3 linked regions of the Tribolium castaneum genome follow. The protein of the gene in region 2 purifies or fractionates together with the protein of the main gene of each other region. This does not show direct contact. Links are inferred from orthologs where the notes say so. Each region holds a gene or a part of one and is shown on either strand. Other genes may lie near its edges. The genes, in order: P32, tral and eukaryotic translation initiation factor 4E transporter.

The links.
Region 1: the proteins of tral (region 2) and P32 purify together in Homo sapiens (affinity purification with mass spectrometry; 3 studies listed by BioGRID and IntAct, with this or other methods). This does not show direct contact. The link is inferred for Tribolium castaneum from reciprocal best matches to the Homo sapiens genes LSM14A and C1QBP.
Region 3: the proteins of tral (region 2) and eukaryotic translation initiation factor 4E transporter purify together in Homo sapiens (affinity purification with mass spectrometry; 3 studies listed by BioGRID and IntAct, with this or other methods). This does not show direct contact. The link is inferred for Tribolium castaneum from reciprocal best matches to the Homo sapiens genes LSM14A and EIF4ENIF1.

The regions. Positions count from the first base shown.
Region 1 is NC_087394.1:7,764,774-7,769,089, reverse strand, and holds the start of P32 (complement component 1 Q subcomponent-binding protein, mitochondrial), read left to right. Parts: upstream 1-1,480; 5' UTR 1,481-1,576; coding exon 1,577-1,778; intron 1,779-1,823; coding exon 1,824-1,974; intron 1,975-2,021; coding exon 2,022-2,215; intron 2,216-4,316. Other genes in the region: Nop60B (H/ACA ribonucleoprotein complex subunit 4), read right to left, coding at 1-92, 140-288, 445-457.
Region 2 is NC_087394.1:10,178,823-10,183,054, forward strand, and holds the start of tral (protein LSM14 homolog B), read left to right. Parts: upstream 1-1,370; 5' UTR 1,371-1,509; coding exon 1,510-1,630; intron 1,631-4,232. Other genes in the region: cytochrome c1, heme protein, mitochondrial, read right to left, coding at 273-421, 471-518, 714-785. UniProt on the Homo sapiens protein: Essential for formation of P-bodies, cytoplasmic structures that provide storage sites for translationally inactive mRNAs and protect them from degradation. Acts as a repressor of mRNA translation. May play a role in mitotic spindle assembly.
Region 3 is NC_087401.1:14,104,461-14,108,111, reverse strand, and holds part of eukaryotic translation initiation factor 4E transporter, read left to right. Parts: intron 1-3,269; coding exon 3,270-3,651. UniProt on the Homo sapiens protein: EIF4E-binding protein that regulates translation and stability of mRNAs in processing bodies (P-bodies). Plays a key role in P-bodies to coordinate the storage of translationally inactive mRNAs in the cytoplasm and prevent their degradation.

The sequences.
Region 1 (4,316 bases), about 2.4 Mb from region 2:
TTAACATAATCGGAAATTTCCCTTCGTAAAGGGGAAGAACCAAACGGCAAAGGTACGTAATGGTTCGTTCTCACATTCAAACGGTCAAAATACTGCAAATCACGCTTTGATGTAACGAAAAACCGAATTTAAAACCCACCTTTAACAACAAGGGCCACTTGGAACTGTCCAACTTTGCAATCACTGAGGAGGGCTCCACTGCAAATTCGGAGCCTTTTTGAAGGTTCCCCAAGTCTTTGTCGCCCTTGCTTTTCTTCTTTTTCTTCTCCCTAACGGGCGTATCCGCCTCTGCACAAAATTGCGTTCTAAATAACGATAAGACAAAGCGGCCGGTTTTTTGAAAAAAATCATTATTTTTGAAACTCTAAATACATTTCTACCACTAATTATTTATCAAAGAACGAAATAAAGCCTCGTTAAAGATAATAATAAACAATAACTTACCAAACTCAGACATCGCTTAGAAAATAACCAACACGTGCATCCGACACAGAAAGTAGGGTTAGTTTTTTGACAACTAACAACAATTTTGACAGATTTTAAGTGGCGCTACTGAAAAAAATTTAAATGAAATAAATGGCGGGAAATGTTTTTTCGGTTATTTAGAGTCTTAAACGATTTTTCTTTTATTTTTTTTATTTTATTTTGGTAAACATTGGCGTTTTTATGCGCTGTAATCGGTGTTTAAAAATTTAAAAAATGTAAAAATTGCAATCTTTTTTTTTGTGTTTTTTTTCGGAAACACTGAGACTTAGAACTAAAATCAAAAAAGCATCAGATAGCGCCTAAAATTATCTATTTTCTTGCCAAAACCCGGAGCCGCTTCGGTCAACGGTTCCAGGTACAGAGGCATATAAAGTTTTACATTAAAAAAATATTTATCAAAAACCAAAAGTCTATTGTCCATTTTTTATTTCATTTAAAATTTTGAAATTTTTTGCTCAAAATTTTAATAATCAAGGCACTTACCTTCACAAAAATTAAGAAAAAAAATTTAAACTCACTCTAGCAAAGTTTTACGAACTTTTTGGCAAATAACTCAGAATGTGTTAGTTAATTACAAAACTTAAAAAAAAATGCCAATAGTTTTAGAAGAAATATAACATATGACGCAACTGTAAGTACCCTTCTATAGCTGTTTTTTTTGCAAAATTATATACGGTAACCCGTTTGCAAAATGTAATTTCAATTTTTAGAAGTTGATTACTCTACATTTTTCCAATTCAATCCAGGATTTTTTTTAAATATTAAAAATCGTTCTATCGAAGAGTTTTCTAAATTTTTCATTAATTTTAATTTTAGACCACAAAATTTTAATTACTATAAGAAAACTGGCCAATTATTGTCCGGTTTAACATTTTATCTGGACACCGGACAATCATCTGGGTGAAAACCGGACAGGTGTGGCAACCCTATGAGGAATTTGGTGACGATTTAGTGATTATCGTTTGTGGGTTGGTGCCATTCTGGGGATTTTCGTAGCGTTGGGTTGCGCGTCGCTTTTTTCTGACAGTTTTTTTGATAGCACGTGTTGTGGCCGGTTTTTTCACGCATTTCGCCTAAACTAAGTATAAAAATGAATAATTTGCTTCGAGTTGCGTCCAGACTCAGCTTCAAGACGCTCCTGAGTCCGGTTAAAAAAGTGTCCAACACTTTCCAGCAGCGGCAACTTGCGCGCAATCTTTGGTACATGTGCAATCGCAATGAGTCCGAAAACAAACTGAGCAAGTTGTGCACTTGTGGGTGCATGAGCAGGCACCAGCATGCACACAGTAAAGGTACGTAAGTGAGCCCAATAAGTTGGAGGAATAACAAACTTGTAGCCGAACGTGAACTGGTTGAGTTTCTCACTGAGGAGATTGTCCTGGAGAGGAAGGCCCAGAAGTCGGTGACGCTTCCAGCCGAGCTTGAGGGTTTTAAAGTGGGGTTGAACGGGTCTGAAGTCACTTTGAACAAAAAAGTTGAAAATGAAACGTGAGTCAAATGCGTCTCATTTCTTGTTATGAAGTGGCAACTTCTAGGATAAAAATTACTTTCAATGTGAACCACACAGTAGACTCTGATGAACTACCTAAAGTGGATTCGACGATGGACAATCCAGAATTTGGAGAATTAAAGTCAAAGCCTGAATTTCGAATTGAAATTGTGCGAGGGTCGACCACTTTCAGTGTTTTGTGCTCATTTTTAGAAAGTGATGAGCAAGAGGAAGATTCTAGTAAGACACTTCTGTTTTTAATTCACAAGATTTTGCACAACTTTCGGCTCAAAATCTAATCGAATGAAACGCCATTTGGTGATAATTTTATTCGGTTTTAGAGGATTAAAAAACGCTTCGAACACTAAAAAATCATATATGATAGCATTTTTGTGAAGATATGCGAAATCTTGGAATAAACTAAGCCCTTAGCTGAAAAAAGTTCAACCTGATTTAGCAAATTTTCGGCTTATTTTTCGCAACAAAATGTCCTAAATCCCCCGAAAACGCAAAAAATTGGGATGTTTTAACCTTACTGAAAGATTTTAGGATTTTAGCTCTAATACATCCTTTTTTGGTTAATTTTTGACGATTTTCTTCGAAATAATTAAGTTTTTGACGAAAAAACGTTTTGAAACGCTCAAAAAAAGGCAATAATTAGACAAGAATGTGCAAAATAAATGCGTCTTTGGCTCAATTAAGAATGAAATCGAGGAAATCAATCTCAAATAGAATATCATGGTCAGTATGATTTGGTGTTTTTTTCAACTAGTTTTGGAGGATTGTAATTCGAAAAAAAAACTGCTTTTTGGCGTTGTTTTGCAATTCTTCGGCTTCTTGTAACTAAATTTTGCAAAACAACTGCGTTTGTAATCTAGAAAACCTGTTAAAACTCCCAAAAACAATACAATGATCGTCTATTTTTTATTCAGTTTAGCGAAATTGCGGAAAAAAACACGCTATTTTCAGGCTAGTTTACTGATTTCTCATCTTTTTTCTTAAAAATAATTGTTATTTATGGTCGAAAAACGTGCCAATATGGTTAAAATTGCTAAAAATAATGCCATTTTGACCTGATGCTTTGTTTGGTAATTCTTTTTTGTAACCAAATTTTGAGATAACTGCTTTTTAAAACTTCCAAAAACCAAAAAACTACAATGATCACCGGTCTATTTGTTTATTCAGTTTAGCGAAATTTCTCAAAAAGTACGCTATTTTCAGACTAATTTAGTGATTTCCCAGCTTTTTCTTATAACGTTTTGAAAAATTATTGTATATTTCTTGTTTGAAAACGTGCTAAAATGGTTAAAATTTGTAAAAATAATGTCATTTTGATCTAATTTTGGCTTTGTTTGGTAATTTTTCGGCTTCATTGTGACCAAATTTTGAGAGATAACTGTGTTTTAAAACTCCCAAAAACGCTACAGTGATCACAAGTCTATTTTTTATTCAGTTTATTCAGCTATTTTCAGGCTAATTTACTGATTTCTCATATTTTTTCTTAAAAATAATTGTTATTTATGGTCGAAAAACGTGCTAATATGGTTAAAATTGCTAAAAATAATGTCATTGTGACCTAATTTTGGGTTTGTTTGGTAATTCTTCGGCTTTTTTGTAACCAAATTTTGAGATAACTGCTTTTTAAAACTTCTAAAAAACCACAATGATCACCAGTCTATTTTTTTATTCAGTTTAGCGAAATTTCTCAAAAGTACGCTATTTTCAGACTAATTTAGTGATTTCCCAGCTTTTTCTTATAACGTTTTGAAAAATTATTGTATATTTTTTGTTTGAAAACGTGCTAAAATGGTTAAAATTTGTAAAAAAATGTCATTTTGATCTAATTTTGGCTTTGTTTGGTAATTTTTCGGCTTCATTGTGACCAAATTTTGAGAGATAACTGTGTTTTAAAACTCCCAAAAACGCTACAGTGATCACCAGTCTATTTTTTATTTAGTCTATTGAAATTTCGTTATTTTTAGGCTGACTTAGTGATTTCACAACTTTTTTCTTTTGTTTTGAATATTTCTGGTCGAGAAACGTGCTAAAATGGTAAAAATTATGTCATTTTGATCTAATTTTGGCTTTGTTCGGTAATCCTTCGACTTCTTTGTAACTAACTTTGCAAGATAAATGCGTTTCTTGTTTATAAAAACTGTTAAAACTCCCAAAAACGCTACAAGTTTAATGAAATTTAGAAAGAATACGTTATTTTCAGGCTAGTTTATTGATTTCCGATGTTTTTTCTTACGTTTTGAAAAATAATTGTATATTTCTAGTCGAAAAACGTACTAATAAAACGGTTAAAATTGGTAAAAATAATATCATTTTTTACCTTTTG
Region 2 (4,232 bases):
GAAATAGCCAAAGCCCAAAGGTGCAATGCAGTCCGATTCCGAAACCACAGCACTTTAACTGTTACTCTTAAAAATTAATAACTTGAAGAATGGAAATACTAGTCCAAAACAGTTTGGGCAGGCAATTAGGCATAATAACGACAGTGGCGCCATCTCTTTACTGTTGCTCCACCAAACCCAAAGACTTCATAAAAAAGTGCATTCTATATCTACTGGCTTTGGTTTCGCCCCTTAATTTAAGTCCTCCACACTTCTGACGCCAAAATAAATACCTGGAGTGGTCAAGTGAGCTGAGAATACCGTTGTGGCTCCATGGGTTTTTAGGGGGGTGTAACTCAAGATCTGAGGCTTTGACTGACTGTTCAAGGGCGAAAACCAACGCACCGGCGCCCCCAGCCAACGCTCCCAAAGTCCCTATTAACTAAATTTATCAACGTAACAAATATCCCACCCAAACTGGCCAAACTTACAGCTTTTCGGCCTCTGGTCCATTCCCTCGTAGTCGAAAAGGAACTGATCTAAAACGTAATCGCAACATTACATAACCGCTAAATGCAATTAAATCCAAAAAATAATCACCAACTAAGAAATAAAGTGATGACATAACGTCTCATAAGAACTCGAATAACGTGCCGATTTAAAGTCCGTTTTTTGGCAAATGGTCAATAACAAATCTTACTGCGCTGGTTTCGCGAAAATGAGGGGTAACTTACCTGAGTTACTGTTTTACCGCAGGAGGGTTTCAGAAGTCCAGCCCCGCAAATCCTTCCAACACTCGCAGCCATGTTGACTAAGGGTGGTCACAGGTCAACAGAATCCCCGTCTAAAAACCGATGGGACTTGAAATATGCAGCAAATGCATAAACTGACGGAGAAAAGCCAAAGTTTATCCTTCACGTGAACGACTTCGTTCCAAGGGAAGGATAACAGAATTTTGACAGCTTTACGTAATAGGCACCGTGGGGATTTTCACTCCGTTTGGGTGGCACTTGCCACCAAAAGGCGCCTTGCATTTGAACAAATCAACTTTTTTCACACTTTTTGAGGCCCTTTAACTACCTGGAGCCCCCACACATCGTATATGATTATGCATTAACCCACTTAAGAGTATATTACAGCCGAGTTATTTTTTTTACTTCGAACTCGTCATATTGGCAGTAGTGCAAAAAACAGTAGCGTCCCGTAACAACGAATAAATGGGAGATTATTTATTGAATAAATTTTGTTACGTCAAAAGTTTTAACACATAACCCATCACTGATTTAATAGTGTTACGTTTTATCGTTTGTTGTAATAAAAAATCGCTACTAGTTGTTGCAAAAATAGTGAAAATTTTCTCCCCGCCAGTGGTCTAACGGTTGGGTTTGTGGTTGTGGCAGGCCTGCTTTGCGTCATTCGCTCCAGCTGTTTTGGGTACGCCATTTGAGAATCGTATTTTCGAAATAGGTTGAGTTAAATGTTAATCGTTTAAAATCCTCGTCATCCTGTTCGTAAAGTGATTTATTCAGAATGAGTGCTGGTATGCCGGAGATTGGCTCCAAAATAAGTCTAATATCGAAAGCCGATATCCGGTACGAAGGACGATTATTTACAGTAGACCCCAAAGAATGTACAATTGCCCTATCTTCCGGTAAGTTGGATTTTCTACTAATTTACACCCAATTTCTGTATGATTGTCGGAAAGCGCGCCCTAGAATTGCCTTCCGGGCCGAATTGGAGTCAATTCTGGCAAAACTTTTTGTCCCAAGACCGAGATAATTGTTACTTAATGCTTTTTTAACTAATCCGTTGTTAGTGGAATTGTGCTGCTGGAAGTAATGACCTCGCGAGAGCTGCCCGAAAAAGCTATCTAATCTGTTTTTTTGCGGCGAAAAAACTTCAAGAATCAACTTGTTTTTGTCCAGTTGAGGCGCGAATTTCAAACTGAACTTTTAGTTATAAACGTTATCAAACTTCGTTTGTTACTGATATGATCACATTTCGGGCGATGTAAAGAAATGTGCTGTATACAAAAAGCAGATTGAGTTTCTTAAATTAAAAAAAGATTATGGGTAAATTGAAAATGTGTTTTTTTTAGATGTTCGTTCATTATTCACTGGTTTTCAAGAACTTACTCTTTTTATTACTGAGTATAACTTTGATATCGATGGAGTGTGAAACGTTTTTAAATGACAATACTATCACAGAAACTGTTGGTATTGAAAATTACAGCAACTGTAATTCTTAGGACGGGTTTATTGAAGGCTTTTTTAAAATTTAATTTGTTGTTACAATTTAATTCGTTTTTAAAACTTAACAGCGCGAATGGACCAATCAAATCTGTTCAATTTGGTCACGTGGTCAGTTAATCACGCATTTAATTGCGTGATTAATTTAATTAACCGACCCTTAGGGCCGGTTTATTAAAAGCTTTGTTAAAATTTAATTCGTTGTTAAAAGTTAACAACGCGAATGGACCAATCACATTTGTTCAATTTGGTCACGTGGTTAGTTAATCATTGATAATTTATTAATTACTCATTAATTTAATTAATCGACCCTTAACTATTTTTCTTGATTAGTGTTAAATTCGAATCAACCTCGTTCACAAAAAATCACAGTATAAAGTTAGCTCATTAATTGATTATTTTGAAGACTTTCTATTTTTTATAACTTATAACACCTTAATATCAGAACATTTTTATCCTAGCTGACTTCATTGTTGATAGTTTTAGAGATAATTAGCTGTAGAAATGTTTGTATAGTTATAAATTTTTGCAATTAATTAAGAACCAACTCGCATTACTCAGTTTTCTAGCTCACTAATCGATTTAATGTTTTGTAACAATCCAGAAATTGTTATTAATTCTGATGTTAATGCTGACATGGTTTCTGATCACTACTTAGTATTTTGTGATTTAGCTTTTTCAAAACAGCATATTAGCTGTTTCAAAACTTTCAAGAAATGCCAACGTGGCATTTTACCGAATTCTTTTTTTAAATAAGGTTGATGAAAATGTAAAATAGTTACTAATGGTAACATCTCTCATTGAAACTATTAGCTATTATCTTTTTGAAGTGTATGAATAGTTATCCCAACTAACTTTTAGGGAAAATGCGACGTTTGCCTTTCTATAGTTTTAAAACAGCTAATAGAGTACCTAAATTGATTTCTTACAGAAACTTAAACAAATTTAATTATCAAATATTTTTAAATGATTTTTAAATACTAATGTGCCGGATTCGGTACTCTATTATACTACCCTTGACGACGAAATCGAATTTCTATCTAACGTGTAACGATTCGATCTTTATGTGCCTTTTGTAATACCTTAGTTTACACCTGTGACTGAAAAAATGTGAAAAAATGATAAATGAGCGTAATTCGGCAATGACAAAGTACAAAAAAAAACAATACTAACGATTGGATTGCTTATAAACATTTACGCAATCTGACTGTAAATTCAATAAGGCAAGAAAAGAAAGCATATTTCACTACTAAAAGTAAACAATACGATAAAAAAGAAATATGGTTAGTTTTACGTAATTTAAACATTAAATCAGGAAAAAGAAACGACATAGTTTTATCAAACTTCAATGTGGATGATGCTAATAATAATAATTTTGTTGTTAGTATTTAGTCCGTCAGATAATTGTACTAATTCCACATTCTTGTTAGTAGCAAAAAATTAAATGTTAATAGTTGTTTTTGTCTTGTACTTGCTTGTATTGATGAAATACAACAGATAAATGATAATTTAAAATCTAATGCTTTTGGTGTTGATCTTCAGCAAATACAGGGTGTTAGCGAAATAAATGCATTCCTTTTAACCTGTGACAGTACACATCAAGGATAACAAAAAATCTTAGTAACATCCTTGCGAAATGAACGAGAGAAAAATACTCATTATTATTATTTTTTATTACCCACTGTCTTCTAATAAAAACAATTCACCACTAAAAAACAGTTGTTGGTACTAAACCATCCACCAAATTTGGAACCTAAGGGTGTAGCCGTTTTTGAGAAAAAAAGCTAAAACTATTTTTTTAGGCTAACTTTTGATGCGAATAACTCTGCAGGGGAGTTCTTTTTCGAAAAATTTTCTAAGAAAGACATTCCGTAAAATCACTTGTAGAACACGCTTTTGAAAGGAATGCATTTATTTCGCTAATACCCTGTATGTTGAAATGATTTTCACCTATTTTGACGAAATTTATTGCTCATATTGTTAACTGTAGCATTGAGGTTGGAT
Region 3 (3,651 bases), on a different chromosome or scaffold from region 2:
CGTCACTCAAACTTTGACTTTTCAACACCGTATTTAGCGCCGGTGTACTCAACGTTTTATTTGCAATTAAATTTTATGGAATTATTCGTTTGTGAAATAAAAAGACAACAACACAACAATAAAATGGTCCTACCTTTCGTATCGCTTCCACGTTGGCTATCGTTTGTAGCATTAAAATAAAATTAAAAACAACGCCAAAAAAAGCTTTATTTGCATTAAATTTAGAGCAAGCCACTTTCATTCATTGAAATTAAAGAGAAAATTATTAAGTGGCATTAAATTGTTTGAGTGTTTTATTTTATTTAGTTACTGAATTTAAAACGCGTCACTCAAACTTTGACTTTTCAACACCGTATTTAGCGCCGGTGTACTCAACGTTTTATTTGCAATTAAATTTTATGGAATTATTCGTTTGTGAAATAAAAAATACACACACAAATAAAATGGTCCTACCTTTCGTATCGCTTCCACGTTGGCTACCGTTTGTAGCATTAAAATAAAATTAAAAACAACGCCAAAAAAAGCTTTATTTGCATTAAATTTAGAGCAAGCCACTTTGATTCATTGAAATTAAAGAGAAAATTATTAAGTGGCAATAAATTGTTTGAGTGTTTATTTTATTTAGTTACTGAATTTAAAACGCGTCACTCAAACTTTGACTTTTCAACACCGTATTTAGCGCCGGTGTACTCAACATTTTATTTGCAATTAAATTTTATGGAAATATTCGTTTGTGAAATACAAAATACACACAAAAATAAAATGGTCCTACCTTTCGTATCGCTTCCACGTTGGCTACCGTTTGTAGCATTAAATAAAATTAAAAACACCGCCAAAAAAGCTTTATTTGCATTAAATTTAGAGCAAGCCACTTTGATTCATTGAAATTAAAGAGAAAATTATTAAGTGGCAATAAATTGTTTGAGTGTTTTATTTTATTTAAGTTACTGAATTTAAAACGCGTCACTCAAACTTTGACTTTTCAACACCGTATTTAGCGCCGGTGTACTCAACATTTTATTTGCAATTAAATTTTAACCAATTATTCGTTTGTGAAATAAAAAATACACACACAAAAATAAAATGGTCCTACCTTTCGTATCGCTTCCACGTTGGCTACCGTTTGTAGCATTAAATAAAATTAAAAACACCGCCAAAAAAGCTTTATTTGCATTAAATTTAGAGCAAGCCACTTTGATTCATTGAAATTAAAGAGAAAATTATTAAGTGGCAATAAATTGTTTGAGTGTTTTATTTTATTTAAGTTACTGAATTTAAAACGCGTCACTCAAACTTTGACTTTTCAACACCGTATTTAGTGCCGGTGTACTCAACATTTTATTTGCAATTAAATTTTAACCAATTATTCGTTTGTGAAATAAAAAATACACACACAAAAATAAAATGGTCCTACCTTTCGTATCGCTTCCACGTTGGCTACCGTTTGTAGCATTAAATAAAATTAAAAACACCGCCAAAAAAGCTTTATTTGCATTAAATTTAGAGCAAGCCACTTCATTGAAATTAAAGAGAAAATTATTAAGTGGCATTAAATTGTTTGAGTGTTTGATTTTATTTATAGTTACTGTATTTGAAATGAGTCACTCAAACTATGACTTTTCAACACCGCATTTAAAAAATTAAAACGCACGACTGCTACCGTTTGTAGCAAGATAATGAAAATAAATTAACCGCAAATGAAAAAAAAAAAATGCACTGACCTTTTTAATCCGGATTGTTGTTTCCTTCTTGAAGACCATTCCATTGGCACTAACACACACTACACTAACCGCGATCACCGAATTTAAAATTTAAACCGAAAAATTTAGATTTGCTCGAGCACACGTCCGTTCGCGACAACGGCAAGTAACAAACTGAATAATTTAAACGAAACGGCACAATAATTTAAATAAACCGCTCGTCTCGCGCTCCCGAAGTGACCCGTGCCACTGCTCGATGCCGACTGAAGCGCTCTCGCCTACTGCGACGCACACCTAACCTCGGGACACGTCACGGACGTGACGTCATTATATGTCTAAAACAGTTCATCACCAGAAACATACATTCACATAATTCGTCGAAATTAGAAACATTCATACACAGAATTATTCAAAATAGAACAGTATTGACCTAGAAAAATTAATTATAACAAATGTATTTGTCTGTAAACGTCTAAAATTATAAAAGTTTCGCATGCTGTTAATGGAAAAATAAAAATGCATGTTGTTATTTTAACAGAACCTGGCAATGTGAATTTTGGTGCGAAAATTAGTGGTATCGCAATGCGTATATCCACAAATTGTTTGTTTGGTTTGTTTTGTTGAAAATTCGGTAGGTTCGAAAAGTAGGGTTATGTTGTTACCTGGAAATGACAAAATTTCCACTTTTATCCATTTCTGCCCTTTCAGAGCGTTATGATAGGATATTTAGGGCAGAAATAACTACCTTGTGTCAAAAATTTATGTGCTATTGCCAAATAGAGACAAAGGTTCAGAAAATAGGGTTATGCGCTCTTCTGAAGTGTTAGATTTTAACTTTAATAGATTTTGTGTGCTTTTCTGCTCTTTTAGGGCGTTATTATTCATTGTTGAATATGTTTAAGGGCAGGCAAATCTACCTTTGAGTCAACGACATAAACTTTAGTGTGATTTATTGAAATAATAGGGTAAAAATTAACTTCTCGTGTTAAAAAAGGGTGTTTAATCGTTTATAAAGGGCGTGTTAACGTGTGTTAAATTTACCACGTAATAAAACAAAAGTACAACAACTTTTCTATAAAAGCATTTTGCAAAATTTTTATTCATTATTTTCACTATTTTCCTTCTTTCCTTTGTGCAAACGAGCCGGTGATGTGAAATTTTGGTGTGAAAATTAGTGTAATTGTAAATTTAATCTCTTTTTCGCCCTGTTTCAACGAATTTTTCTCTCAAATCAGTTCTTTTCAGAACGCCATAATTGTGTGTGTGTGAAAAATTAACACACGCAAATGTGATCTGATATCACATTCTAAATCATTTCTACAGAGCATATACTACAGTAAAACCTCTCAACAACGGACACCGGAATTGTCCGGTGTAGAGAGGTGTCCACTAATGGGAGGTTGGAAATTTTAATATAGGTTTTGTTACGTTCCTACAAAAATGTCCGTTGTGAAGAGATGTCCGTTAAAAGAGGTTTCAGAAAAATTTTGGAGGCATCACCTTGTACTTTATTAAATAAATAAAACTACAGCGCCTGGCGTTTTTTAAAAATTAAAAATTATTTTTTAGGCGAATCCCGTGACGAGGAGCCCGAATGGTTCTCATCCGGTCCGTCTTCCCAAAACGATACAATCGAATTGCGCGGTTTCGACGATTCGGATCGTCTCGGAAAGAAGAAAATGTCACCGTCGCAAGCGAAACGCGCACGCGATTGGTTCAAAAAGAAGACTGAAGTGTCGAGTGTGACCGAAGAAAAGGAAGAAATGAGCGAAGGTGGTCCCGGTGGCCGGTCAACGCCTACGCCGCAGAGCGGTTCAGGTGAAACAATCGGCGGGGAACAAACAAATGAGTCAAACACAAACGCGTCTGAAAGTGGAGATGGTGACGGAAAACACAATCAAGAGAAGAATCTGAACGACCAATCGTCGATTTTTGAAGATATCTTGAAGTC